4 linked regions of the Lepisosteus oculatus genome follow. The protein of the gene in region 1 interacts with the protein of each later gene in a pairwise test. Links are inferred from orthologs where the notes say so. Each region holds a gene or a part of one and is shown in the gene's direction. Other genes may lie near its edges.

Evidence for each region.
Region 2: the proteins of htt (region 1) and transcription factor Sp3 interact in binary tests that used the Homo sapiens proteins (3 or more experiments, as listed by UniProt). The link is inferred for Lepisosteus oculatus from reciprocal best matches to the Homo sapiens genes HTT and SP3.
Region 3: the proteins of htt (region 1) and dihydropyrimidinase-related protein 1 interact in binary tests that used the Homo sapiens proteins (3 or more experiments, as listed by UniProt). The link is inferred for Lepisosteus oculatus from reciprocal best matches to the Homo sapiens genes HTT and CRMP1.
Region 4: the proteins of htt (region 1) and zbtb16a interact in binary tests that used the Homo sapiens proteins (3 or more experiments, as listed by UniProt). The link is inferred for Lepisosteus oculatus from reciprocal best matches to the Homo sapiens genes HTT and ZBTB16.

The regions. Positions count from the first base shown.
Region 1 is NC_090696.1:40,625,945-40,633,605, forward strand, and holds the start of htt (huntingtin), read left to right. Parts: upstream 1-4,656; 5' UTR 4,657-4,959; coding exon 4,960-5,057; intron 5,058-7,661.
Region 2 is NC_090707.1:16,898,803-16,906,281, reverse strand, and holds the start of transcription factor Sp3, read left to right. Parts: upstream 1-4,472; 5' UTR 4,473-4,610; coding exon 4,611-4,617; exon of another isoform or gene 4,618-4,656; intron 4,657-4,915; coding exon 4,916-5,013; intron 5,014-5,199; coding exon 5,200-5,295; intron 5,296-6,324; coding exon 6,325-7,479. UniProt on the Homo sapiens protein: Transcriptional factor that can act as an activator or repressor depending on isoform and/or post-translational modifications. Binds to GT and GC boxes promoter elements. Competes with SP1 for the GC-box promoters.
Region 3 is NC_090696.1:43,014,006-43,021,712, forward strand, and holds the start of dihydropyrimidinase-related protein 1, read left to right. Parts: upstream 1-4,702; 5' UTR 4,703-5,537; coding exon 5,538-5,903; intron 5,904-7,543; exon of another isoform or gene 7,544-7,707.
Region 4 is NC_090718.1:9,937,885-9,945,831, forward strand, and holds the start of zbtb16a (zinc finger and BTB domain-containing protein 16-A), read left to right. Parts: upstream 1-4,929; 5' UTR 4,930-5,039; intron 5,040-5,407; exon of another isoform or gene 5,408-5,897; intron 5,898-7,947. UniProt on the Homo sapiens protein: Acts as a transcriptional repressor. Transcriptional repression may be mediated through recruitment of histone deacetylases to target promoters. May play a role in myeloid maturation and in the development and/or maintenance of other differentiated tissues.

The DNA.
Region 1 (7,661 bases):
AAGCATTCTAGACAGACTGGGAAGACAAGGCAAGAAAAAGTATGGTCAGACTCCAGACAAAGAAAATGTACTGTGGTAAGCTGCTAAAAGCATCCATTCTTAATCATTGAGAAACCCAGTGTCAAAGTAAGGGTTATGTAGAAACGTTTGGGCTCCCCCAAAGAACAGCAGGAATCAAATGATAGTTTTGTTGCATTGTGGGCTTTTGTAACAGGGCATCAAAATAGAAGTGTTGCAGATGTTACCAATAACGTCAAACCAAGAATTGAAGGAGAGTCTGTGATGGCTCATTCCACTATTTTAAATGGGACATTTAAGACAGACTTTGGCCTTTAACCATGTACCAATTATCAAACCTTTTTTCTAAAAAAAAAACCTTTATCAGAGGGACTAATCTAACCGTATTCAGTTTCCCAGAATTTTGCTGGTAAGGAAATACTTTTAACAGTTTGAATGTCTGCACAAAGTGCATTTTAATGCCTGTTTTAAAATGTTTTACTAATCAAGCATGTATCGGTAGTAATCTTCAGGTTTCTTGTTTGTAAATTATATTACAGTGCCAACATATCAGAAATATTGGATGCCGCCTTTATTAATGCAAGGTGACCGATTTTGTAGTTGTACAGTCTTGTCTTTCAACCACTGCAGTAAGTGTATTTCTTGTACAAGTTCTATCACTGGTTGTTGTACCATATCTGACATTTGTAATTATGAAATAAAACACTGCCGTTTGTACAAAATAGCTTCCCTGTGCTTTATTTAAACAAAGCTATTTCAGTGGGTGCTTCAGCCAATTGAATTTTATTTGCTGTAATGCTATGATAGACTCAAGCTTTAAATTTGCTCATTTTGCTTCCCAGTAATTAACATGATTGACTACTTGGAGAACTGTTCTTGAATTTAACGTTTCACACAAGGGATGGCTTGTAACCCATGATGGTTACATAACCATCAGTTTAGAAAAAAATAATTTCTAGTTTCGAAATTGTACATTAGTTATTCTGTTTTGTGGAGTAAAATGTGTATCTTGCTGTGCAGCAGAGTGGGAATATCACAAACATGACCAATTCACTGTATGACAAAGCTGAAGGAAGATGCAGTTTTGTGGTAAAAATGAAATCACCTCATAGGCACACTGCTAACCCTTTTTGTGAGTCCAGCTTTTATCATTAGCTTTACAAAAATGATCTTTTCTCCTGTAAATGTAATGTACAATTCTTTTAACCAAAAAAAAAAATCTCTAAAAAACACTATTACAACACAAAAGGAAAAAAAAAAATGTTTGGATCCAGCAACAAGTAAAGATTCTTATTTTTTACAAGGTGTTTTATCAATATATATATAGGCAGCTCTCCCTAAGTGAGCATAAAGAGATTAATCCATCCATTTTCTAACACGTTTCTAACAACTGAGGGTCATGGTGGAGCCAGAGTCTACTGGTGAGCAACAGACACAAGGGAGGACACACCCTGGATGGGAAGGCAGTCCATCGCAGGGCCATAAAGTGATTAAAGCTGCCCAAAAATAAACAGCTGAATTTCAGATTTAGCTGAGAAAAATAAGGTAGTGTGTGAATTGTCTTTGGTGGTTTTAAAAAAGTATGAACTATCCTGGTGTCATGTACTGGTGAAAGGGCTAGTAAAATATATATTTTTGACAGTGCTGAAAACGGAAACATCTCTTGTTAAAATTACTTATAAATATTACATATTTAAAGAGGGGAAAGGGTTGCCTCTCACCCCTTCTATACATTCGGCTTGGCTGCCATTATACAATGATAGACCTTGTGCCTTGCAAATGTATTCAGACCCTTGCTCAGTTTACACAGTTGGATTTAAAGCTTACAATCATGACACTTTCAAGTAGAAATTCTTGTCTCTTATACAATCTGCTCCAAACACTAAAGCAAAAAAAGGAAAAAAACAGATAAATGAAAGAAAAATGGTAAAGTTATGATTGCAGAAATATCCCAACACTAGCTGTGGCAAACCTAAGTTAATTACCTTAACAAGACACAGAATTAGTTTAGTAGTCTCAGTGTGTATGTAATAAAAGCAGTTCACATGATTTTCAAATAATAGACCTGTCTCTGTAAGGTTCCTTGGTCAGGTAGTGAATGGATCATAAAACCGAGTATTTTTCTAAAGAACTCAGGAATAAATGTGTGTAAAGTAAAAGATTGGGAGATAGGTATAAAAACATATCAAAGACCCTTAATATCTCTTTGAGGATCGTGAAGTTGATCATTAAGAAGTAGGAGGCACCCAGACACTGCCTAGATCAGGCTGTACCTCCAAACTGGAAAAGGAAAAAAATAGTTATGGATTCCAGAGTGAGGCCAACAGTGATTTTGAAAGAGCTTAGATCAGAGAAAATGTCCATGGGTCAACAATATCCCAGCCAGTCCACAAAGGGGCTTTGTATGGATCTTTTAATTTACATCTCCAATCTCACATGGGATTTCCAACAATGCACCTAAGGGACACTACAAATATACAGGACAATTGCAAAGCAGTGCATATAATGCAAACCCAACTGCAATACACAGTCAACACCATTCCCTGCGTCAAGCATGGTGGTGACAGTATTATGTTATGGGCCTGCTTCTCATAAGGAACTGAGAAGACTAATGGAAAATGAATGGACCAAAACAGAAGAAAACCTGTTTCAATCTCATAAAGACCTAAAACTGGGAGGAACATTAGCCTTTCAGCAGGAGAATGACCCAGAATGCAGGGCCAAAGTCTTAGGAATAAGAACGTTAATGGAATTGAGTGGCCAGTTCAGAATGTCAGTAAGCACAGTTGGTGGGGGCTAACCCAAAAAGAACTGCAGTTGTACTTGCTGTCAAAAGGTAGCCAAGAATAGCTGTAATTGCTGCCAATAGTTTCTACCAAATATTGAATTCATGCATCCTTGAACTGAGGTTACCCACATACCACCATATGATTCTCTTCACCAGGCAATTGTGGACCTTTCATCACAAACCACTCATGCTGTTTATGACCTAGATAAAAGAATACTGCTTTAATACTATAATGCTAATGCAAAAAAAAATCTGTTATTTACTGCAACATAATTTACCATTAGAACTTTTCTGTCTAAGCATTCAAATTTGAATACATTATCAATTTAAAATGTGTTGGATCATTTTATAATGTCAAGACCATAGGGGGCTGTGCGCTATACACATTTGCACCCCTAGCAAAGAACTGAAATCTGTGTTGGAAGGACTGAGTGTAAATGCTCGTCAATCGTTCTATAGCATATTATGTTTTCATAAATGTAAATAAATGCATTTGTTAATAATAAAGGCTTGTTGTGTTAAAGTTCACCTGGACTATATTACTGTCTTATTTTTGAGTCCCATCCAACAGGGGTAGGAATAGACGAGGTCTGGGTTCTTTTCTTGGCTGCAGGCTCTTTAGGTGTGTAAAAAGACTTAAAGGACGTTCCCTCTGTGGAAAGAATGTCACCTACAAATACTGCAATCAAACAGGTTTTTTTTAAAAAAACCTGAAGCATGCATTTGGAAAATTATACCAAACCACTGGAGTACGGGATGCTATTCAAAGCCCTGGCTAATAAATATGATTTCCCTGAACAGATAATCATACAGATACATTTTTTTACCAGATCTGCTAGGTAATTTGAAAAGAAGTGTACAGTGCCTTGCACAAGTAGTTAGACCCTTCCTGTGGTTTTCCATCCATTTTGTAACTGCTTTACCCAATTCAGGGTCACAGGGGAGCCAGAGCCTGTCCCACCAAGCAAAAGGTGTGAGGCATGATTCACCCTGGATGGGATACCAGTCCATTGCAGGGCAGACACAAACACCCCTACACTTAGGACCAGTTTTCCCAAAATCCAATTGATCTAATAGAATGTCTTTGGAATTATGGGAGCACCCAGAGAAAACCTGCATGAACATGGGGAGAACATATAAACTCCACACAGATAGCACCCCAGGTCTGGAATTGAACCCAGGGCCCCAGAGCTGTGAGGAGGCAATGCTAACCACAGCACTACCCTGTATAAAAAATGTTCCTATTAAACATATTAATTGATATATCAACTGACCACTGACATTTGCTGTATTGTGCCGTTTTCCCCCAAATGCATTTGAAAGTCCCTGCTACTTACTTTACCGTCCACAGGGACATCCCAGATATGTGATGCAACATGCCATTATTTCACTAGCTAGCCACCACTATCACAAATTCATCGAAATATCCAGATCATGGATCCAGAGTACTACACACGAGAGTCGAAGCTCTGCTTTTGTGGTTTTCAGTACACGTACCACAACATTTGTATGATAGGACAAAAGAGAAATTTCTCTTGACAGGACAGGAAGCTCATCTCCACACTTTACTGATTACCAATCTTCAAACTAATTACCATCAACATCAGATCAGAAACCTGTGGCCTTAAGGTCATGTTTTTTTGGGTAAAAAGAGGGATTTATTTTGCTGTTCAATAAAAATAATACGGTGACCAATCAGAAGGCAGCCTCCCAGCAAGAAAACTTCGTGGTACATTCAGCCTCTGAGCCGCTTTGGTAAGTAAACCCACGCCGCCCTCTTGCCGAGATGAAGACAGCCCCGGTCGTGTTATTGCTCTCCCGTCCTCTCAATCAAACACAAGCGGCTCCCGATCAGCCACTCACAGCGCGGCTCCCCCTCAAGCTGTCAGGGAATATACTTCCTTGCTAGGAGGGAGGCTGATGGGATGCATCAAAGATGGCTAACAAAATTGGATATAACAGCAACTAAGTCCCATTCATTTAAATGATAGATTTTTAAAAACCGTAACGAAATCCCCGTGACAGGTGGGGTGTCGCGGAGCCCAAACCCGTGGCTGGATTTAACACGCATGAAGCGCGTAGGCCGTTCCCTTCCTTAACGTCTTTGCGTTGCCCCGCTGTTTGTGTTATTTGTAAATATTATTCCTGTTAAAATGGCCACCATGGAGAAACTGATGAAGGCCTTCGAGTCTCTCAAGTCATTCCAGCAACAACAGGGACCACCATCGGCCGAAGAGCTAGTTCAGAAACAGTAAGTACAGAGCAAGCGAGGTGACGAGACCGGGCACTGAATGGCGGTGCCCTGGGTTGGTGGGCAGCGTAGCAGTGATTGAACAGTCGAGATCAAGTCATCGTAAATTACTTGGAGTTGTCCCTACGGGTGGTGTTTGCGGCGGTTGCGTACCCGATCGCTGTAGGTGCATCAATAATAAATGCACACAAACTCATCTGCCTTGGAAAGCTCTTTCGTTGTTGGTTTGTAAATACACGGAAAGATTAGCCAAACTCCCTACTACATCGTAAACAGCGAACGCAGTCGTACCTCTGGTTGCTCCTGGTGCAGATCCCAGGGAATCAAGTTAACTTAGAGTTTTCTTGTACAAAGATCTGTTTGAAAATCGATTTTTTTTATATACAGTATGTAGTTTTCGGGGCAGGGGTGGCTAGATAATGAAAGTCGGGCAGTTTGTGGTGTGGCGTAGGTGTCGGTGATAAGCACAAACAGGTACAGGAGCTGCGAATTTCAAAACACAGTATTGCAATGACACAGTTGTATTGATATATGTTAGTCATAATAGTTAAAAGATAAAAAAAACGTCTGTTAATTCAAGATTTAGGATAGATGGCACTTTGAAAACATTATCTGCTGTGCAATACTTCTTAAAAATACATTCTGTCAGTGAATATTTCCATAGTTTTTAAATTCCGCTCATGTTGTATATGCAGCACTATACGGTCCTATTTTGGTTTGTGCAGTGTATGAAAGCTACTGTTTCTGTAACATCGGTGCAAGACATGATACAGTTACAGTTTTTAAGTTTACCTGTAGCATGCTCTGCCAGGTCTATATCACTTTTGAAACCAGTTACGAGTGTCTCAGCCTCAGAAACTCTGCTGTATCAATGATGTCCTGTATAGATAAAATCTCTTAAATAAGTGATTGTACACGGTGCAAAACAACTCTACCACTCACCCCTAGCTCTTACACATGTAACCTACATAAAATTAATTCTCATTCCTCCATTTTCTAACTGCTTCATCCAATTCAGGGTTGAGGGGGAGCTGGAGCCTATCTCAGCAAGGTGCACAAGGTGGGGTATATTCTGGACAGGATGCCAGTCCATCACAGGACAGACATGCAGACATACTGACACTCACACCAGGGCCAATTTTCCCAGATGCCAATTAACCTACTGTGGTTGGAAACATGAGTACCCAGAGGAAACCCAGATGAACCAGGGGAGAACATATGAACTCTGTGCAGATAGACCCCCAGTTTTGAACCCAGGGCCCCAGTACTGCGAGGCAGCAATGCTAACCACTCTGCCATTGTGCCACCCACACAGATAACACTCCATGTCCGGAATTTAACTTTAACAATATAGATGTTGCATCAGTAGTCTGTGATTTCACGGGATTGGAATATGTTATCCTTCTTCACCGTACTGGAAACACTAAACAATGAAAGGTCTTGTGACTACTTTATTAAATCTGTGTAATCATCCATCTCGGAGATGTCATTCTCATTGAACAGGTTGCTACTGACCCCTAGATAACTAAGAATGTAGTGTTGTACATATACAGTGCAACAATCCACTACTACAGTAGTGTAGCAATGCAAGGCTTTTTGTGAAGGTGCAAAGTATTCACACAACTTCAACTTAGTCGTTGAATAGTATATTGAAGGAATGCATGGGATGTGGAATGCTTTGTGACATTATACAATCGAGTTCTTAAAGATAGTGACTGACAATTCAGTACATAGATCACAGAGCTCAGTTTGCTAGTAATTTCTTTGAGTTGCGTTTTGCTTTGTGATACTCAGTGCCACAAAGCATATACTGTACAGGTAAAACTCTGTGTTGTTACCTTTTAGTATGTAGAAAACAGCTAATATAATTTATAGGCTGTTCCTTTTTTCAGATACCTAAGTATGTTGTTTTATAGAGGCTATTCCAGTGCCTTCCAAAAGTATTGAGACCCTTGCACAGTTTTCACATTTTCTTGCTTTAAAGCTTGCAGTGACTTTAGTAGCAATTAATATTTGTTTAATATACAACCCACGCCCCGCCTTCAAAGCAAAGAAGAAGAAAGAGTTAATGGATAATATGAAAGAAAAACAGGAATAGTAATGACTGCATAAACATTCAAAACCATTGCCGTGGCAAATCTCAGTTAATCTAGGTGCACAAAATTACTTTAATGAGACAAACAATTAGTTGAGTGGCCATTGTCTAATGGTATGATATGAATAAATATAACTCGGTAAGGCCCCTCGATCAGGTAGTGAGATAGATAAGACTTTATTGATCCCAAAGGGAAAAGGAAGTGTTACAGCAGCCCATCCCAAGACAAGCAAAAACAGACATCAGAACAGATGAAAAATTAAAATACATACAGTAATATAAAATAAATGAAAACATTTCAGATACCCTAATATCTCTGAGCCTGGTGAGGTGGAAGGCCCCCAGACACTGTTCCTTCCAGTCGGAGGAACAAGGAAGAACAGAGTTAACCACGAGGCCAACAGTAACCTTTTCAGAGTTGCTGAGCTCTGTGGTCGAGATGGGAGGAAATGTCCAGGAGTCAACTATATCTTGGTCAGTCCACAGAGGAGGCTTGTGTGGAACCGAAA
Region 2 (7,479 bases), on another chromosome or scaffold:
CAACCCCGATTTCACCTGCCACCAGGAGTGACAGGAAAGTGATTAGAAGTATCCGTCATTTGTTTCCACGAGCCCCTGAGCGCAAGGGAAGTGCTTTGTAGTCCGACTCTAATGGTCAGAGCCTGAATTGCAGGTTGATGAAATCACTCTGTTCCCATCACAATATCAGAGGAAATGACACAGCATGAAGGATGCTCAGTAGTGCTTATTTTGAATCTTGGGGTTTGTTAAAAAGAGGTCTGTTTTTCCAAAGAACATCAGTTACTCGTAGTTTACTTTAAAGGAACGCATACTGTATATGCATGGGAACTCATCCTGTGTACATACAGAAATATATAAGGACATATAACAATATGTAAATCAATACCAGATGCCCCATAGTCTTTGTTGGAAAAAATTTAAATTTACGCCCTGCTGATGGGAATTGTGGCTGAGACAATATGTCCACATAGTAACTTGAAATCAGACTCCCTGTTGGTAACAGATGAAAACAGGGCATTTGTGTCTAAGGTTTCCACAAAATGGAGATGCAGGCATGTTTTTTTTTCTATTTATCTATTATTTCTGCATATTTGCTATGTGGTAAGACACAAGATAATTGCAATACTAAGCACAATTTCCCTCATCTTGCTTACTACAATAGAAGAAACTAAAAAACAATTGCAACTATAATTGCATGCGTCACTCCAATAATGCCAAATACATGTAAATATGTCAAACGTTCTGTTTAGGAACAAAAAAAGCTTGTTGTAGGGAATATTGATGATTTTGAAATGCAGAACTGCTTATTTGGTTTGTCATTTTTAAACAACCCGATCTACCAATGAAGTCTTGGAGAAAGCCATTCAGGATACCAACTAGCCACTGAGTATCATCAACAGGCCTGTTGATTAACTCCAACACAGTGTTTTGTATAATCCTGCATCTGAATTAAGGCATATGTTTCCACTCAGTAAAACTCCAAATGTATAGTCTATTATATGCAGGATACTTGAGGCAAATTGGGTTGTATTTTTTTATAGTTTTTATAGTGAAGTATGGCGTTGTATACCATTGGGTTCATTTAGTTCAAGGTCCGCTTATTAAAATGAAATGAGGTATTTTCCACACTAACATACAGTAGCTGTATATAGATGCTTGAGGGCTCAGTTACCCTTTGATAATATAAAAGCGTTGTGGCTAGAGTAAAGAAGTGTTGATGAAATATCTGCTAATAAGCATTTGCTGGGGATCAGGATTTTCATGAATACTGTGTGAATTTATTGAATGGCACATGCTCTTGATATGCAGTTTAACCTTCAGTGCAAAACAAAGAGAAGAGACTTTGAGAACAATTGATGGCACTACATCCTCCATGCATGTGAAATTTCACTTCCATGTTTGGTCATGAGCACATTTTTTAGGCTGTCTCACTTCCTATGTATTTGTATACGTTCAGGATGTAGTGAAAACAGTTTGAAACACCTAAGATCACTTTATTGGCCATATACAATTTCTTGTATTAGGAATTAGTCTTTCCACAGACCCTAGCATGCTCTTCATGAGACACACAGACAGGGAGAGAAGCTTGGGGTCAGAGCGCAGGGTCTGCCATTGTACAGCACCCCTGGAGCAGTTGGGGTTAAGGGCCTTGCTCAGGGGCCCAACGGAGTAGGATTCCTCTGCCAGCTACGCGATACGAGCCGGCAACCTTCCAGCCACAGGCGCAGATCCTTAGCCACAGAGCCACCGTACCACCTGATGAAACCCTTACAAACCTACTTCATACATGTAGAAATGCCAATTATGTTATACCAACACAAAACTGGCAGAGCACATACAAAGACAAACATTTATTTAACAAGTCTGAATCGCAAGTGCAAATTGTTTGGCTGCACACAGTTGTAGGTAGATTCCTCAGACACATCCATCTTTAGGATTTGTCTTTTAACACAACGTGAGCAACACAATCCTGTACTGGAGGTTCAGCACCGATTGGAGATGAGGCACATACCCGAGCAGCAGAACCCCATGCCTGCAAAAGAGGCGGAGGAGGGGGGGCTCTGTGTCACTGAGAGCTGAGAGAGAACCCATGCTGACTAATCTCACATACCACCTTTAGTCACGCTCAGTCAGTTGTGCGCCATCTTTTGGGGAGTCACTCAGGAAGCAACCACATCCCACAAGTGTGAGGCTGATCTTGCTGTTAGAGCTCCGTCCCAGACAATGTTGTCCTACAGCTCCTGCAGAGTTCTGGTGTTGCCTAGACAGTATCTCACATTGCTTCAATGCGTTCAGAATCAGATCTCAGTGTGAATCCTCATTTTTCCTGTTCGGGATAAGCTGTAAGAAATTGCTGATCCTTCTGTGATGGGTCACAGAATCAGTCCAAATAAAGTTTAGGCCAAATGTCCTATTCCATGGTATCACAGTCTAATGACTAGGGTGACAACCTGGATATCATAAAGTCTGTTTCCTCATGCAGCACTTAATGTGTTCCTCTACATGATTTGGAAGTATACATTCACCAAACTGTCATCACACCCCTGACGTGCTGGCTACTACGGTCAAAACAGAAATCATAATATTTGTCAAATTTGCCAGTGAAGTATACTGTTGTCCATCGGTGACGAGGATACCATTGATGATGTCTTGTTGTTAACAGAAGCCCTTATGCAAGTGAACTTATAGTTGCATAGATCAATATCATAAACTTATATATAAAACAGACAGCAAAATAATGCAATACTAGATATGATAATGCAAAATACTTTAAAAATATTTACCATGCAGGAAGAGATAAGTGCATGTATTTGGCAGTGGAGTAATAACAACACATGGATTAGGGGGGTAATTCAACACAGTACAATATAGTAATATACAGTATATTACTACAGAGAGTAAGCGTGGTATGGCCTTAACACACTTATTTGGAAACTGGCTTAATAGGGGGAGATCCAGTATTAGGTGTAAAGGTAAAAGCACATATGATCTAGACATCCACCTTCTAACTGCTTCTTCTAATTCAGGGTCATGGGGGAGTCAGAGCCTATCCCAGAAAGCAATGGGTGCAACACAGGGTACTTATGTGAAGACAAAAAAAAGAAGACGACACAAATATGTGGTTAAAAGAAAGAGTAATGCCTAGACAGCATTTTTTTAAAATAAAGAGTAAGCCTAAAGTGTTCTCCATTAAAAAAGGAAGGCTTTTCATGTAATCTGCCTGGAATGTTTTTCTTTTTTCATCAGATAAAGAACCAATATGGATTCCACTTACCAGCGTATATATATCTGAATTGTTTAACCATTAGTTTCAATTTTCTTTCACACACAACAGTTTCTGTTTGGATGTAAATTAAACTGGCAGCTATGATATTCTGAGTGTCGCCACACCACATATGTTTGGCAGTTAAAACGAACCTACTGTTCAGATAATATCTGGTTAGTAAGCTTAAGTGAGTTTGCTAGAATGAGCACTGAAAATAATTATTATACGTTATTTTGAGTAGCCTGGAATAACTGTATATTACTGTCAGGTTCTCTGAACTTCTGTTTCTCTGTGGTAGAGGTTTTGTTGATGGGTGGAACATACATTGCACGTGGAATTCGGGAGGACTGTAAGGCATTATTTATTGAACTAAAACACTGTGACTTCGTGTATTTCATATATCCAACTTCAAAGGCATTTTTTCAAAATAGTTGGCAAAAGGATATACAGTAATATAACGTCCAGTGTGTGCTATACATTTAACATAAGCGGACAGCCTGTATCATTCGGTGAGTAAGCTCTATCCTTATGACTCCAAAGAACTGTGGCAGCTTCGCAGAGCTCATATGTGGTGTGCAACACGTCCATAAACCACTTTCTTATAGCGTGATTTCGTGATCGCACATAGCTGAATTGAACCCTAAAGTATTACAGGTTTTCACATTTTACGCTTCAGTTATCCTGTGTACATATTATTTTTAGGATATGTGCATTTTAGAAAGCAATTTGCTGTCACCGGGTACACCAATTCGGCATAGCTTTCTTATTTTAAAGAATCGTTAGCAAAATATTAGAACAAAAAGAATTCAATGTTGAAAACTGTAGTTTAAACTGTAGCCCAGTTAAAATAGACGAATTCGCCTAATCTTTTCTCACAGACGTTCAAGTGTGAGTTTAGAAACAAACGCCTCGTTTCTATTTTGTAACGATAACACAATCACTGTACAGTAGTTAGGCTCTATAAAAAGCGAAAACGTAAACATTCGGCATTCCGTGACAATATAACAACTTTAATGGCCGATTCGTTCTTTGAACAACTTCCTGGCATTTGCCTACAGCTCCATGAATAACAAACAGGAAACACTCGAGCTACAAAAAATGAGCGACGGACCCTCTGTCTACTGCCAACCGAGGAAACCATCCGCACCAACCAATCACTTTAAAGAAGAAAGGCGGAACTTCCTGTGCGTGACGCAAACTTTACCGTCAAGCCTGGAAGCCCCACCTTTTGTGTTTCCCGCACCGTCAATCAAAATAGAAAAAAAATCGACTCGAATCACCGATCGCAGCCCGCCTTTGATTAAAATAATCATGTTTGGCGTTTAAATAAATCGAGAATCTCACGATTTAAACCATTTACGCTATGACTGGTACGTAACATTTAAACTGATTCAAGCACACCATCACCGGTGAGTTTGTGTAACCCTTAAGTCTTTAATCTTTTTTCAGCAGCGGCACAAGCCAGCAGTTGCGATTTAAACGCTAAAGTTAAAGCTTTAAAGAATTTGCATCGAAATCCTAACAGAAACGATCCTGTCGGGAGTCAATCTGGGAGTTTTGTGCGTCCGTGTGGAGTTTGGATGCTGTTTAGTGTGGTTTTGGCGAGCGGAAAGTGGAGAGGAATGATTTGTTTTGCTCTGTTTCCCTCTTCTCTGTGCCTTTCTGTAGCCCCTGAAAAGCCAGTGAAACAAGAGGAAATGGCTGCCTTAGACGTGGACAGCAGTCAGAGCGACTATCTGCAGCACGGCGGCGGCGGAGGAAACCAGGTAATTTTTTCTCCTAGCTGCCCCTCGCTTGCTCTTCTGCCAGGTTTGTTGTAAATGCATGGTGTTTTTTGTGAAGTTCACACGTTTTAAAATTTGATGTTGTAAAAAAAAAAGTCGTACTTCCTGTGTAGCTCCGGACTAACGGCCACCCACTTTCTTCTTTTTAAACCCGCCCATTGTGGGTAGGACACTCAGCCGTCACCGCTCGCTCTGCTAGCAGCTACCTGCAGCAAGATCGGGTCGCCATCGCCAGAGGAGGATGGCTGTGCTGTCGCTGGCGTGGTAAGTCACCCCCGCTGCTAGAACCGTAGCCGAACCGAAACCAGCAGCCCGCCCTGTGCAAATGCACTGCAGCGTGGACTGTAAACACAAAAACAGCCACGGCCGGCAGAGCGCTAAGTCAGCCCCAGTGCTGAAGCAAACCCGGTGTTCAGAGTAACATCCAACCATGCATTATGATCACGACACGCTGATCCTTGACAAATAAAGCGACGAGCTGAGGTTTGAAATTAAAAGCAGTGTGTAATGGCCGTGGGTTCAAAGTGCCTGTTGGTGTCCGGATGCTGCTTTTTTTTCCTCTTTCAAGAGATGAATTTAATTCCTCCAATTATTCATCGATCAGTGGGTGATGAGGTCTGTTAAATCGCTTGTTAAGCAGTGTAAAAGAAACGTTTTTTTTTAAATGTGCCTTTTATTACTGACGTGATTTAATTATGTTTGAAAAGGCTGCCAGCCTTTCGTTTTCTCTGCCCCCTTACACTTATTCGTCTTTTTTTGTGACACTACACCATTTCAGATCAGTTACATTTCTCGATTATGCCTACTATGTACAATATATAAACCTGCCTTCAGCTTATAAGAAAAATCTTGGCTTGCCTTCATTTCTAATAGTACCACAGACTTGAAAGTGCTCTGCAGGGTATCGATAGGTTTGAGCTGAAGCCTTGTGGCATAGAGAACCAGTACCACAATAATTTCACTCCTGCAGTGAAAGAGCAGGAGAAATCTATATTTTCACCCAGATCTTTTGCAAATAGGCTACACTCCTTTAATAAATCAGTGATGTCTTACAAATCCCCTCCAGCTGTCGACTTTCCCATGAAAAGTGTAGCTTTTTATCTTATCGCTGGCGGCTTATTGATTTCCACTTAGTAACACATTTAGTAAAATGCTAGTGTAAAAATGACTTTCATTTGGCCAAGTGCTTTTTGCTCTACAGTTCACAAAAAAAACAACAACAACTGATGCATTTACTAGGAATTTCTGGCAGAAAATTAACTCCGGTCACCTTTTTTTTTGTCTGTGTTTTAGCCTGCAGATCTCACTTCCATACAGTTAACAGGGACAGCTAATAGATGGGAAGTCTTGGCACCTACAGCAACGATAAAGGAGGAACCAGGCTTAGTCCAGATTCCGAATACAGGGATAGTAACATCAAATGGACAGTATGTTCTTCCAATTCAGAATCTGCAAAACCAACAGATTTTTGTAACTTCAGGAACAGACACCTCTGCCAGCGCAGTGCCTAATATACAGTACCAGGTGATTCCACAGATTCAGACTGCAGATGGCCAGCAGGTACAGCTGGGCTTTTCAACTTCTGCGGTAGATGGGGCAACTCTGGGCCAGGATGCCACAGGGCAGATCCAGATCATGCCTGATGGGAATCAAAGCATAACCGTTGCCGGGACATCTTCTGCAGACATCCTTACTAACAGCCAGAACCTCATATCGCAGGCTGGGCACGTTCATCATCCTGGTGGGCCTGTCCAGATTCAAGGAGTTTCTCTCGGCAGCTCCACATATAACAGCCAGGGTCAGGTTGTTACTAATGTGCCTGTGGGGTTGCCTGGAAATATTACTTTTGTACCGATCAACAGTGTTGATCTGGACTCCCTAGGGCTTTCAGGTGCTGCTCAGGCCATAGCTACAGGGGTGACCTCTGACGGCCAGTTGATCATGACTGGCCAAGCTATGGACAACTCGGACAGCTCCGAAAAGACTGGTGAGCACCTTTCCCAAACACTATCTGCAAACAATTCCAACACTAACCAAGACATGTACGTGCCAACCACCTCCTCTTCCCAGCTGCACGAAACGATAGACGGTACAGGTGTGCTTCATCAAGCTACGTCCTCCTCCTCGGCCAGCGAGCAGGTGGATCCCTCCAGCCTTCAGGAAAACTACATCCAGACGGCTCTGTCGGACCAGAACCAGGTGCAGAATATCCAGGTCTCCACGGCGCAGCCCATCATCCAGCTGCAGCAGGTCCAGGCGCAGAGCACCAGTGAAGCCCAGGTCATCCAGGGACTCTCCCAGCAGCAGGTTCAGGCCACAGGGCAGACCATCTCTCCTCAAGCCCTGCAGAACTTGCAGCTGCTCAATCCAGGGACTTTTTTGATACAGGCCCAGACAGTGACCCCCTCTGGGCAGATCCAGTGGCAGACTTTCCAGGTGCAGGGAGTT
Region 3 (7,707 bases), about 2.4 Mb from region 1:
GCATAATCATGTAAACTGTTTATCATGCACAAACCTATGGTGCTAGTTACTAATCAGCAATGCTATAACCTAGGCCTGGTACCAAATTCTTGCCTTTCTCTTCAAATTTGATCTGTCTATACATTCCAAGTATTTTGGTGTATTCATCTCTTTTAAAGATGACCATGTTCTTGAAACTTTGAGGTTTGCTGTTTACCAAGCTATAAAACTGTTATGTATCTTATTGTGTATGTCATTTACTGTTTATTTCAGCAAATTCTTATAGTACTATTTGTTTTGTACTATTTATAACTGTTTATTAGAAATTGCCACTTACCTAATATTACACTTATTTTCTGCTGCTTCCTTTTACAATATAAACATATGGTGCAACGTGTACAAAGTTTATCAGTATGTATATATTTCATGTTTTTCATGGGAAATCAGTTCTAAAATTGACACTATATTTAAGATTGAAGTATTAAACATTTAAAAACATTTAGGAAGCATCTTATTTCAGCAGAATATCTTGCCTCTTGCTACTTTGTTAACGTAAACTATGAAGTAGGCTTAAATGTTAAAAGGTTTGATGAGTTTAAGTATTCAAATAAACATTGAATGGTTATAAGACAGAAGAAGCTTGGATCAAAAATTAAGTGGGTGGTGTATAACATGAGCTTTATAACCAATACATTATTTTTAAAATCTCAGCTCCTGTTTTCTTATAGGGTTATTTATGCCTTTACATTGGTATTAAGCATTTATAGGGTGCTTACGAACACTTGCCTTTTCACCTAGAAACAGACTTTACCAACTGAGGACAGTGACATTCATCACATTTCCAAGGTGAGACTAATACTGAGGAGGAAACTCAATAAAAGGTGTTAGGGAACAGTTTATAGTGCAAGTTTATGTGCAGTTATACACACAAGACACACATTGAAAAAACATGCATTGGATTAAGAACATACTGTACAGATTGCCCAGTTTATGAACACAGATTTCCCTTAAAAATATGTAATATATTGCACATAATGAAAAATCCAGAGAGCATGAACTGATTGAAATTAAATACTGAATTGTGGGCTCTTTATAAAATTGAAAAAGTTTTGTATTTCACAGTCATACTGTAAGCTGTTTGTTTGTTTTTTTCCATTTTTAAAATACTGCACTGTGATACAATTGTAGTATACTTTTAATCACTTGCTTGTTTCTATTTCATAAATAATTTGTTTTTCATTTAAGCATTTGGCACAATCAGCCTAGCAGATATCTTATGAATGGATAACTTTATGTATATATAGTATATATCTACTAATTTAACATAACACTAGAAGGAGAGTTTTTGCTAATACTGGACAGAATGTCAATTTATTTAATGGCATGTCAGTGAGATCCTTTGGAAATCCTTTAGTGCCTTATGGAGGCAGAGAGGGGGCAGACCATAGGATTATGCTTACTTGTTACAGTAGTGTCCAATTTCAGATCTAACCAAATACAGCAGGGTTAATTCCAAAGATTTTTAATCCGCTTTGCTCACTTATTCTACAACCATGCTTACCTTATCGAATTAAAATGACTTTTTATGTGTTGGAACTATTTTCATATTCATTTAGTTTAATGTACGTTTTATTTCTAAAAGAAAACCCTTCCTACACATGGAAAAAAACAATGACAAGAACTTGAAAGTTATCCCCTTTGTGCCTTTGGGTTTTTAGTTAAAGGAGCACCATAATACATCTGTATGATGTTTGTCATGATTTTGTCAATCTTACAGCTCTTACTGTATATTGCAACCCAAGGCCTTTCACTGTGTATAAATGTCTAGACATGCAATGTGTGATTACAAAAAGCATTTACTTTTGTTAAGATTAGTAGTAGAGTGAAACTATATGAGCTTTCCCTTGGGTTTATGCTCTGTGTATGGTAGCTTTATTATTAATACTTGTATTTAATTGTAAATACGCGAACAATTATCTTGTTAATACAAATGTATTTTTGTATTTTAAGATGTATTGATTTCTGTAATATTTGTAAAAATTGTAAAAAAAATAAATTTAGTAGAAAAACATTGCAGCATGAATTGTTTTATTTTTCTTTACTAGAAGCACACACAGCATTTTTAAATATTTTTCAGGCAAAGGTACATTTGTGGTATTTTTAATAATTGTCCACAAAATTAGCCCTCCTCAGTACTACCAGTTAAACTTTGAATAACCCATACATTTATATTATTTTTGCTTACTTTATGGTGTATTACATCTGGAGACAAGGTAATTCTTATTAGCAGTTTATGACTTAAGGAATATGAACTACTGTATTTACAAAAGACCTCAATCCTAATGTTTTTCATTTAAGTTATTTACGCATTTTAATAGTCGCTCTAGTCAATTAGCCAATGAACCTGGAAAAGATGAATGTAAGAGCTGAAAATGTGCCTAAGAAAAAAAGTGGGATTTTATGTACATCCTCTTCAATTATATCCCTTTAAATACAGATACATTATTAGATGTCATTGTGTCAGTCCAATAGCATCTATTCGTGTCTAGAGACAAAACAACTTTTTTCTTGTTAAGGAACATGAGACAGCTTACTGTACATCTAGCCTATTTGGTTGCTACTAAAACATTTCTTTAAAGACACTAGGGTATCAGCTTTTACAACATGTTTAGGTGGCTTGTTCCAGACCTCCATTCCTTTGTGCTAAAACTACCTGCTTATCTCAGTTCTAAATATACTTGTATATTTGTGTATTAATATACCTTTATTCTGTACTGTATAGTGAGGCTTCTGATCCAAAACTACTTCCTTCCAATCTGTTGCTGCACTGAAATTAAATGAGTGTACCTACTGGTGTGTGGACCCCTTTCCAAAGATGTCCAACTTTCTAATTGCAGGTGATGTGTAATATTTAACGAAAATGTGAATGCTCAAACTGAACACTCTTAAGGGTGAAAAAATGAAAAGAAAATTATTTTGGATAGGGGTAAATGGTAAATGGTGTAGTTTTACATTGGAACAATGACAGGGGAACAATTCATCTTCCATTGGAATTGAGTATCTGGTGCATGGAAGTAATTCTCCATCAGCAGCCTTGCTATACAGCAGAGAATACAGGTATAGAACAACAAGATTCAAGAATCAAGATTCAAGATTCAAGATTCAAGATTTCTTTATTTGCCATATACAACAAGTGTATTGGAATGCTTACTTGTTTGGCTGTACCAAATAACATTAGAGAAAAAAACAAAAAATAGGCACAAATGACAAACAGACATGGACAATAAATTTAGACAATAGATGTTATAATACAGCCAAGACAGGATACAGTGCAAACAGTGCCATACCTTAAAGTGCAGGTGCAAATATATGCAGGTGCTAATTTGAGCTGTTTAAGATGCAGACTGCTTGGGGGATGAAACTGTTTTTGAATCTATTCGGCAGTGTTCTTATACTGCGATACTTCTTATAACAAGGAGATCACTCCTTAACAAAAAGAATGCTCCCCTACACACACACCCTTCTCCATTCCTTACTTAAGAAAAGCATGTAACTTGTGACAGCGTGGCTGGGAGATACACTAGTCAAACAGCATGTCCTGTTGCTCACTGAGGGATATCTTTTTGAAAGGACTGGAAAACCAGGCTTTTTCCCTTATTACCTTGTACAACAGTCATTATTTGCTGTACTGTACAGTATATGATTGTTATTATACTATTATGATTAAAGTAAACATATTAGATGTGTGCTCTAGTTTTAATATTTGTGCTGTTCGTTATTTAAATGACATGTTTCAATACATTAAATGTAAAGAACATAATGAACTTTTTTTAAGTACTGCTCAGTCATGTAGTAAAACAGTGAAGTGCCTTCCAGGCCTGGTTACGTCAGCTTTAGCTTGACTTGCTTAAAAATGTGAGATAACATAACAGCCTGTGGTCATTGAGAGTATGAGTGGAATAATTCTGCTTTAAATCAAGTTTTTTAAAACTAATTTATTAGTAGTGTTATTTCTCTGGTGTATGTTATGTTAAAAGTATCTTTGGCTGTGAATCATTGAAATGGGTCTCGGAAGTCAAGCCAAGAACCTTTGTAATAGCAGCTACTTGTACATCTACTGTATGTCAGCCTTTAAAATGCAGAAGTCTTAATTAAAGATAATAAAGGTCACAGTTCTTTGTCCAGTCTCTTTCCTCATCATTTTAATATAACTTAAATGCAATAGATTTTAAAACGTCCTTTTTATTGCCTTATTTCAGCAAAAAGCTTTTGACAGTAAATTATTTTTTTTTCTATGCCATCATTGATCCACACTAACAAAGCCTGACTAGTTCAATTGACCAGTGTAGAAGAAAAAATTAACCGCATGCGGTTTGCTTGGACAGTAGTAACACGACTCTCTAAGGATAAAGCTATTAATCAAAATGGGTGGATATTCCTGTACTAAAGCCTACATTGCAGTACCACGTTTAAAAGCTTAAAAAAATGTGTGTGGCGCACGCTAAAGGCAAAACTACAGCAAGTGCTGATGGACAGCTCCCAGTGTATTCCGATATACAGTAACTATGTGAGACAACCAGCGATGTGTTTTGCGTTTGCAATGACAGATCGTTGAGGTTTGAGTCATCTTGGCGTTGTAATTTAACCAGTCATCAGCTGTGAATAAAGACTGGTGCAGACAATGCTAAAAGTACGCAGTAGCAAGACGTTTTACTTCCGTGTCAGTGCCTTACATGCCTTACATCTACAGTAGTATTTGCCACCGCTACATACGTATAAACTCACATCCACCTTGCAACTTTACGGTTGGGGCTTATTTTAAAAGAAGGCGTTTTTAATCGTTCACGACCATAAGCTTTTCATCCAGATTGAAATTCTTGGTTGGTAAATGAAGACACCTGCATGCTATGGGTATAATTGCATTAGTCGATTAAGGATTATTCGTTGAATTAAGTTTTTGTTGTTATTTTTATCATTCGTTACCATCCATGTGCTTGTAAACGGAGTCGTCTGCAAAATGAGGAAACGGTTTTCTGGACCGTGGGTATACATCTTTTAACCGTTGTCGTGCTTTGTTCCTGCTCACTGCAGCATCCTTTTCTGTTAACGACAGGTTTTGCGCTTCAAAGAACTGGGAAAATATTTTATTCTGCAACTGTTTTAGTGCTTGGAGCTGCTTTTTAGTTTAGCTAATTGGCCATGTTCTTGAACAATCGATAGACTGTTGCAAAGCGGTTGATGTATAGCAACTACGTTCTCCAGCTGGAGCCAGACTTCGGCGCAAACTGGTATTTTTCCCTCGAGTTGCGCTGCTCCAGAGGATCAGTGCATTGCAGTACTCCTTTGTAATCGCCAAGGTCGAACAGGAATACTGGATTCGCTGTCTTTATAAATCAAATTGCAGCTATTTGTGATTGGTTCTCAGCTGGCGGTAGCGGTGACCAGAGGAGCGTGTTTTATTTTTGGAGCTGATCAAATTTACCGCATTGCTTCTTTTTCATTTATGGTTAGCGTTTCCTGATCGGATTTGGATTTTCCGTCTGTTGACTCGCATTGGGATGGCTGAGCGTAGGAGAAACTGGAATAAAGAAGATGACTTGCCAGTTTACTTGGCCAGACCAGGTACCACTGCACAGACCCCGCGGCAAAAGTCATGGGGAATGTTTGCTTCTGTGGAGGGGGCCTACGAGAACAAGACCATAGATTTCGATTCTTACAGCGTAGGGAGGAAAGGGAACCGTACCCCGAGGAGTGGAAGCCGGGAGATGCTGGAAGGGGACAATTTCAGCGAGACAGCTAGTGATGTGAGCGAGGTCTCCGGCTCGATTATCAGTTCCCCCAGCGACAGGGACGATAAGACCCTGGGAGTGGAAATTAAATATCCAGCTGGCAAGGAGTTACTACAGGGACAGGAAAATGGAAAGGTAGGATACAAATCCATTACTCTAGGACTTAAAAGCATAAATCCTACTCATACTGTATACTGACCATGAAAGATTGCATGTACTGTGTTATCATAACTGTTTCTCACGTGTTCTTTAAAACCCCGCTCTTTATTTATAACCAACAGAAAACGTAATGATACGATTAATATAAAATTCATTCATATTTAATTTGTTGCTTTTTTTCAATACAACAAGAAACACTGTTTTAAAAAAGTTCGCATTTGAGCTATTACCTAGTATGGCTTTGGCATTTGTAAACCAAGACAGCTGTGGTTTATTTTTTAACTTCACCTTACTTCAGGCACAAACAAGGTTTTCGGTGTATTATCGCTGGTTCCATCCTTATTGCCGAAATGAAGCTGTTTGGTATTGATGCAGTACGGACGCATCGCTTAGCGTCTTCGTACGTTTTTTTCCTGACCCTGCTTGGATAGTTTGAAGCAATGTGAAGGTTTTGATATCACAAAATAATTGCTTCTTGCTGCTTAATCTAATTAAGAATTTTGGTCTGTGATATGGCTTCAAATTTTTTTAGAGAACTAGAAGCCATTATACCTACTTTATGAAGATACAGATGTCTTGGTTTTGTGTTAGAAAACTTTTTAATGCAGTAATTCACATTGATTAATTAGAAACTATAAAAAATGCATGGTAGAGTAGCTTCAATTGACTTTAACGTAAGATTGTGAGAATGCCTCAGTTTAACTTTTGAGACACAGTGTTGTAAAAGCGTACATACAGTATGTGCAATTAACTTAAAAGACTATTGAAGCAGACAAGGCGTTTCTTTGTCTACCAATTTGGTAGCACGTAGTATGGTGTGAAAAAATCTGCATGTATTCATTCATACAAAGGCCACAGCATGATACCAAGTGCATGGATTTCAAGAGTAGTATTTTGCTGTCTCGTTTTTTAATGGAAAAAAAATGTAAGATGCAATAAACAGAAGCCTAGGATTTTGATTCTTTAGATTATTATTTCGTTGGATGAATTCATTTTCACATACAGCTTGACAGCATGCACGTACAGTATACTGTACTTCCATACACTTTCGACACTAGTTTACTCTTATTTGTTAAAGGCCTTGTGTATTTTTTACGTGTTAATGACCTTTTAGATTACTAGAATAATTTAAAGCTTGTAGCACTGCAATATTAAGAACTGAAAAAAGCTGATGAGATTTTCTGTATTACAGTACTTTCCTCAATTAAATATCTGTGGCTACAATAATATATTGATCCCTTTTGGTGGAGTGAGCGTTTCGGTTTAAACGCAATCTTCAGTTACATTGCAGGCTACAGTATATGCTTAACAATGTTTTCAGAGGTACGTCAAATTCACAATACCAATCAGAGCAAGTCAGCTATTTACTCATACTTTGGTGGCAACAAGATAAAGGAAGTGTTCAATACTGCTATTTAAGTTAACCATGAAGGAAAAAGATACCTAAAATTCAAAATGAAGTCTTGATCTACTGAGGTATTTTAAACTGGGTTTAGAAGCTACAGTATTACCATTTTATAGTAGTACAGTAGCTGCCGTACTGTACTGTATGTCGACTGTCTCCTTTGCCCCTCGCAAACGTTCAGGTTTTATGATGCAGAGGGCGCTACAGCCCTTAGTTGGAGCTCTAGATACTGTAGCAACTCCCCGTAGGGAGATTCGTCCATCTATTATTTGCTACATAAAGGTGGCAGATTTACTGATCATAGTGAAAGTGGGTCTAAAAGGATCTGGTGATTTCTTTTAAAAAAATTCGATCGTTATCTTGAATATCCAGCAA
Region 4 (7,947 bases), on another chromosome or scaffold:
TAAATATTTCGTGAAAAGATGGGGGGTTTTATTCATTTGAAAGGTGCAGTGCCCTGATGCTTTACTTTGTTTTAAAAATTAAAGGTTGGAAGTCTGGTGTGAAAAGCCATTGTTTCCCTTTCAATAGTATTAAGTATTTAAGACTGTAAGTGACACTATGAAAAAGCCTCTGTTTTTTTAGTGAATAGGTAGGTTGATAAAGGCTACAAACCGCTGTATTAAACAACTTTATAATTACTATACAGCACCCTTCTGATTTATTTATAGTCTGCTAAAATAGAGACATCACATAACAGAATGATCTATGGATTGGACAATGTGTAATGTGTGATCTTAATAGCACTGCACAGAGCAAAGTCATATTTATCATAAATTATTTAGATTCATATTTATTCACACATCACTAGTTAGTATTAAATAAATCCTCTGGCATAGCTTATATTGACACAATGCCTTCTGTAATGTGATTCAGAAGAGGTTTTGGCATTTCTGAAGGGATTTGTGATCATTCCTCCAGGCAGTATTGCTCTAGGTACTTCAGACCCTTTGCTTTCCATTTCTGAACTGCCTTCAGGAGTGTGAAATAGACAGTCAAGAACATTCATTCTCGTGTGCACTTACAATTTCTTTGTAGATCTGGATGTACTGTATGCTTTGGCATTGTTATGCTGTTCTGTTTTTGGCTAAGTTTGAGCTTTGTGGCAGAGGAAGTTATGTGTTTGTCTAAACTGTCCTGGTATGTGCTGGTGTTCACGATTCCCTCTGATCCAATGATGCTAGCCTTAAGTTTTTTATTTTTTATAATGGATGCTACATGGAAAGAGATTGCTTTCTTTAAATTCTTTTATAGTTGTTCCCCAGCTTGTGGAATTCAATGATCAATTGTCTGCAGATATCAGAGAGCTCTCTGATCTTAACCACCATGATGCACGCTACTACTGACTGTTTTCCAGGTATTACCTCCTTTTAAACTCTAGGGAAGCAGAAAAACTTCAGAGGTCTCTGTATAGTTGATTTATATTGATTACAGTGTCAAATTCAAAACTATTTTATATGATGCTGTTTGTTCCTATTGCTTTGTACTGTACAGTATATACAAAGGTATATAGAGTTAAAGTACATACCAGACTATAGACTATAGATAAGTACTTTAGACTCAAGGTGTCCACTGTAGTCAAGGTGAGAGTCGGGGTCTGATCAAAGCTTTCCCTGTTACCATCTCACCATTTGGTCTGGGGATCACATGTATTAGTCAGCAATCCACAGTTGTATAGGTAAATTGATTTTCTATGCAAGTGCTTACCAGTCTCAGTTTGTAATGGATTGTGGAAAGCAGAGTTTCGGCATAATACAAAATAACTGAAAGCTGGAATATGTACAGTACAGATTTTCTTCTCTGTGTGTAATACGAGTCCCAATACCATCTCCCATAACTTTTACTTTGCAATCCTGCACCTCATTGTCATTAATAGATGGATAAATGTTTTACAGTGTTATCAGAGCACTTGCTTTCAGATCAGTGGCTTCAGCTGTGTACAGCAGGTGTTATCTTGCAGCTCCTCGTTCTGACTCTGAATCAGAGTGGCCCATAGTCTGTGTCAAAGGCTGGCAAACTGCCGAAAAAGCCCAGCCTCCCTCTCTCACCTTACTCGTCCTAAACTCAGGCATTAATCTCACTTTAACGGCATTAACCACCCCCAGGCTTCAAAGCAGGGCCTGAGAAAACAGAAAGGAAGATTTCTTCACAATGAATATTTGTGGTTGTTCCTCGCTGCCGAGTGTTGTTTCAAGACACCAATCCCCTTTCTCTCAGTGAAACAGGGATTAATTGAAGATTAAGGCCTTTCCTTTTTTCTGTATCCAGAAGTAAGTCTCAGGAAACCAAAGCACAGAGGTTAAAAAGTACCTTGTGACCACAATCTGAATGACCCTGAAATTTTAATCGTGGTGGAGTACTTTTTGCCTTTTTATTTGGAGAATAAAGATTATAATATTTTCGTCAATGCCATATGTATATTAAATATTTCTTTTTACAATCTGTGGTAGTCATAAATAATCAACAATGGGTATTTGGAACATATAGAATACTGGTTAGTATTTTATTCACTGTATGGATTAATTAATAGTCACGCTCTTGAAGCAAGCAACAAGGCTTTCAGTCTGAGTCCACAGTTTATTTTTTTATGAGCATTGTGGTTCTGGGTTTTGAAGCTCTGAAGACAATATACTCTTGAGTTGATGTTTTTTAGGCCAATGCCTGCACATACAGTAAATTAAGGAAGACCTGCTGCACACAAATCTGTATTCAAGTACTAATAAAGGTGTGACCAGAAATAAGTTAGTTCATATAGTTCAATAATGATAATAATAATAATATGCCACTGTATCTTCATAGGTCAATAAAATAGTGTTCTTTCTTACAAAAATCTGTACCCTATGAAGAAACTGCTCTGCTGCTCACTTTATATTCACATCTAAAGTTCCATTGAATGAAAGGCGCATTTTTCCATCACTAACACTTGCTCAGTGCCATCATTTCCAATCTGATATCTTATGTATATTTTTGGAATCCTTGAAAAGGTTATGATTTTCTATCACAACAGTGCATATTGTGTGTGTTTAAAAATGCATACGGGGTTATTTATCTTGTGATTATCGAAACAGATTTTACACAATACACAGAGCACCTTCATCTTTACCACCTTTTTGAACACCCAAATAACACAGTTCAAAACTTAACTTCATGCAGTAATGCAGCTAGCTAAAGGAAATCATTTAGAAAAGCAATTAACAGACTGTTAAACTAATACAAATGCAAACTATACAGTATGTTAAAATCTAAATACCATACTGTACTTTAGGTGTACTATCGCTATTACTACTTCAAATAATTATGATGATGATAGTAATATTGCTTCATTATTAAGGCCAGTATCCTGCACTTCAGCCTTTACATTTCAAGAGTACATTTATGGGTACAGTGCATGTATATCATTCAAAGGAAAAACAATTGAGTCGTGGGTAATGCCGCAATGTAGAAAGTTTAATGGTAAATACCGTATACAGTATATGTGCTTTAAAACAGAGACTTACTGTACAAGGAAGCAGAACTAACAGCTTATACACCAGCCTTAACTGTGTAGCTATTTTAGATAGGGAAAACCACCCCAGGAAAGCATTTCAAATTGTTAAAACAATGTCTATAACATGAGTCTATCAGCTGTTACTTTCATGGAATATTCATAGCTTGAAGAACACACTAGTCATATGAATAGACTGGTTATTTTAAAAAGTCATTGGCACAATGGGTCCTTTTCTCTAAGTGTAATTTTGTAACTTAAAGAAGTGTTAAGAATAACATTTAACCTACTGGTGGGAACATTTTTATTATCCATAAAAATAACCTGCAAAAGTGGTGTGTTTTTTATGCATTCTCATACTCTACTATTTTTTAATGACGGGTACCTGCAGGTCAAATTTAAAGACTAATTATGTCACTTTTTTTTTAGGAATTATGAGGACGGCGCAGTGTATTGTTTCATCTTTCAAGTACAAAACGTTCAGTGCATTGGAGGAATCTGATGTACAACTAAGCAGTTGCGTCTTCCCGTGTCTGTCACGGGATACAGTGTAGAGCAAACTGCTATAGTACTTGTGGAACAATACTTGTAGCTTCAGAAAATCTGATAACTCAGCGAGGATACTATTGAATACAGTATGTCAATCGGGGCTTTGCATGTGCGCTGTATCTTTAAAATGTGTAGATCATCGACTCCATATTTGATGCTGGCAGAAGCGATGCTTTAGCGCTGTCCAGCACTTGTTTTTAGACCTGGTTAATCAGATACTACCCATAGTTACATTGTTACATGTTACAGTGATGCCTAATTAAATTAAATCTAGGCGCTACAAGTGACCTGCAAAACGCAACTGATCGAGCAAAAGACCGTGTCCGTGACAGCGGGGTACTGTCAGGAATTCACTTACAATTATGAAGTTGCGGATCACATGCGTGATGTTGAAATACAGTTTTTGCTCACCACGACGCACGGAGTATTGACTTCTATTGACGGGATCTGTACATCATTTGAAACATCTGATTAAGGTCCGCTAAATGTGCTGCACTGAATCTAACACGCGCAACATATGACTTAAATATTGCTAATAAATCGGGTTTTTTTTTTGCAGCGTGTGTGTTATATACATGGCAGTTGTAATGCCTGTTAATGATCTGCAAAAACAAACATTGTTCACCTGTTTATTTGGCGTCAGTGAGAATTATTTATTTATAGGCTTCTTACACGTTATGTTTTAACAAATTGAGTGTTATGCATAACGCGGCCCCATGCATTTTGTACTTAAAAGTCTATAGTCATTCATATATTTTTAAAAATGTATCATTTCAGGACGACAGTTTACACGTTTTTGTATTCAAGTCTCACAAACATTTTCCATTAAACGTTATTTCACCGTCTAGACAGTGCTATTTTAAAAAAACCTGAGGCTGATGGCATTTTACTGTATGGCATAATTAGTTCCTAAACACGTCCCTCCAAATTTAGTACGCAATTCCTTTCCATCATTTTTCTGTCAGTAAAATGATTTTAGCCTGTTACATTACTCTTTTACAGCCCCGTAATCCGTCATTTGTAGCGCATGTTATTTAAAAGAGCATTTCCACACGTGCCAGATTTAAAACTCCGGTTGAAAAACAAAAAACAAAAGGCGAAGCACACCAAAACTAATCATGGCGCTTCTGTAATTTACTGTATCTACACACGCTCGAAAATACTTTCTCCGTAGTTTTTTTAAAGCCAGCATTAAAGATGGCAGCCCCCTAGGTGTCTCACTTTCGCAGCGTTTTGTGGTGCTAAAGAAAGAAAAAGAGTGAGTCAGTGCGGTGACGTCACCACTGTGTTGATTTGCTAACCCTAAAGCAGAGAGGAGCTAGTGCGTGTGAGAGCGGGTACTGTGAACTGTTGCGTTACTATGCTGCTGCCCCAATAACAACACATTCGGAAATTTAACGTGCAACCTAGGTAAGTACACATATCTTACGGGCTAGCAGCTTCTACACAAATGCATAGCAAACAGTCCCGTCACTCTGCATGCTTATTTGTTTTTGCTCTGCTGTTGGTACAGTAAAAGTGTAAAGGACCAACTCGTCGGTAATGTTACGCTTAACAAACCCCCAGAAGTTACACTGTCTCCAATACCGTGTCGCTAAATCGAGGTCTTCATGATCGCTTTCAGGAGGGGGAGGATGTTTTCGCATTTTGCGAAATACACTGCAAAAGTAATGAGACATTACTGTATGATATTTGGAAATCCAAAGTTGTTTCCATTTGAGAGATTTATAATCATATATATATATAAACGAATTCTGATGTTGACGCTGCTCGCTGTTTTAGTATTCTGGAGATCGCAACAAGAGAAACGTGTGGTCTGACTGTACAGTTGACTGCTCAGCAGACAGTGCCTACCTTGTGAATAGCTTTATCATATGAGGAGATACCCATGTTCTGAATCTGCGGAAGACTGTATACAAACATATTATCATCACAACCATTGTACAGGGTCATTTTATGTGTAAATATTTGTGAAGTAGCTGTAACAAATGCAGTGGCTTCATGCACTTGATGCGTTTACAGACAGTGGTCGCGGGAGCCGTGGTGTGAAATTATTACCAACACCGGTGTGGGTTAGGAAGCTGAACATTTATTGGGCACAGAGATCAGACGGAATGATACTGCACATCATACAGACGAGAAAGTGTTGGATTGGTAGCTAAGGGCTAATAAATCGCTAGATTTTTGAAGCCACCAATTTTCTGCAGGCAAGCCTTTGCGGGCAAAGAAAATTATTTTTAAGGTCTTCTGTAACAGTGAACGTGCAAGGTAGGATTTTACTACTTAGGTGCCTTTTAAAAGAATCAAATAATCCAGCATGGAATTAACATGTCAAATGTTTCTTATTTTAGCATTATGAGAAATTACTATAGGCGATTCACGTGGGTTAATCAGTGGCTTCTCTGAAGTCACCAATTAAAAGCGTGATTCAATCAATTGTAGTTGGGAGAGATTTTTTTCGGGTAGTGGATTATTTTTTTCCGAAATCTCGGAGAAGCAGCGATGTTCAGTAAGTCATTGTGACGGTGTTGTTCTGTTACTGTTATAAATATGTATTAGCGTTTCCATAACATGTTTTCTTTTTCGGGAAATGCGTTATTTTGGTCTGTTTCTCGGTACGCATTCTGTGTTTAACGATACAGTCTACGTTGAAGCCCGGAGTACAGTGGATAATTAGGCAGGGGTAGCATTAATTAAAAATTGCTGTTGTAAAAGTGCGGTGTTTTGTTTCTTGAAACCACAATGTATCGACTTTTTGTGGGTAATATAAAACCGTGCTTCAAAACATTTATAGTAAAATATAGCCTGCTATAACTGTTTACTCCTTAAGAAATATTAGCTAAAACACGAAGCACTTTTGCTTTTGCGCTCTGGAAAGTGCCATGATAGTAAATCTTGTGCGCTTTGTATATTAAGACAGTTGATATTTTTGTGGAATATTTTATAAACTACTTAATACGTTCAGAAGTTTGTGCTTTTCTCCCATGTGTTTTACTATTCTGCTAATACTTTTTAATTTTTTCGCGCAACGGTTAATAATGACGTTTCATGTCTTATAAATAACACAGTAAGTGGAAATTCAATTGAAGTCGTAATCCGACGTCCAATAGCATGTAAATCAAGTCAGTATATGTGCAGTAGACGTGCTTCTTTCGCATGATGACCCTAACCCCACATTCAGATGTCATACAGTATATTGTATATCGATTTAGTTTTAATTATATCGTTACAGAATGCGTTACAGATTTAAACGTATCATTGAAAGCGTTACGAATTGTATTATGTTTGGCAAGAAAGCACAAAATGGGCTATTTCTGATTTTATTCTGAAAAAGCGATGTAAAAGGTGCTCCCAAGAAGTTTTGCATGTTTAAAATACTCAGGGGATATTATGTGCCATGTAATTTATTTTTGCTTATAATGCGCGAAGGTCCATAACGTGTTAAATCTTTTCCCTCGATTTATAGATGAACGTCGTGTTAAGACGTTTAAAATAAAACTATGAAACAAAAATAAGTTTTTTTTTTCTGCAGTAGCAACTGGACTGTCTTATTTCGTGCGTTGGATGAGTTGCATTACACTTAAGAGTTTGAAAAATGTTTTCTGGTAGGCTTTAAGAAAATTCCCAGTCTAAAGTGAAGTGAAGCCTCAGATGATAAAGATGATAAAATATTAAAGATGTTTGTGTACACACATTCATGTACCTTTGTGGTGTTTGTTTACATAATATGTGGTGTTACATTTGCTCAAAACCCAAAGTAGGCAAGTAACTCTTAACATGTATTTTCACAATTTAAAGAAAACTCCAGTTTATGTACAGTACTGAATGCTTACTACAAGAATGCTTCGTGTTGAAATCCCCTCCCTGTTGTGAATGCAGCCGTTTGATTAACCAGTCACATTCCCTTGTATCTGTACAGTCTGCTGATTTACTAGCAATGATTAGGTTTAATCTGTGTTTTGAATGCACTTATAACCCTTTTTCGATGAAAGTATTATGGACCAGAAAGATGCTGTATTTATTTTTATTAGGTAATGCACTTTACTCACCATTAATGTGTAAACTATTCGTTTGCTACGCTTGTAATGCCTGGTAGGATCGATAAAAAGTAAAACGTCTTTCTTTTAAATGCGCAAAAGTTTTTGTTGATATGAAAATGGAAATATGGAATCTCGATCAAAGTTAGACCTTGGCTTGATAGATTTCGTCTAATGCTGCTCTTTTTGTTTAAAAAAATGTAAAGGATTTTTTGCGTCTACAAATGTGCACATTCGTGATTTAAGTTTTCTTTTTGTGAGTTCACAGAGGTCTAAACCAT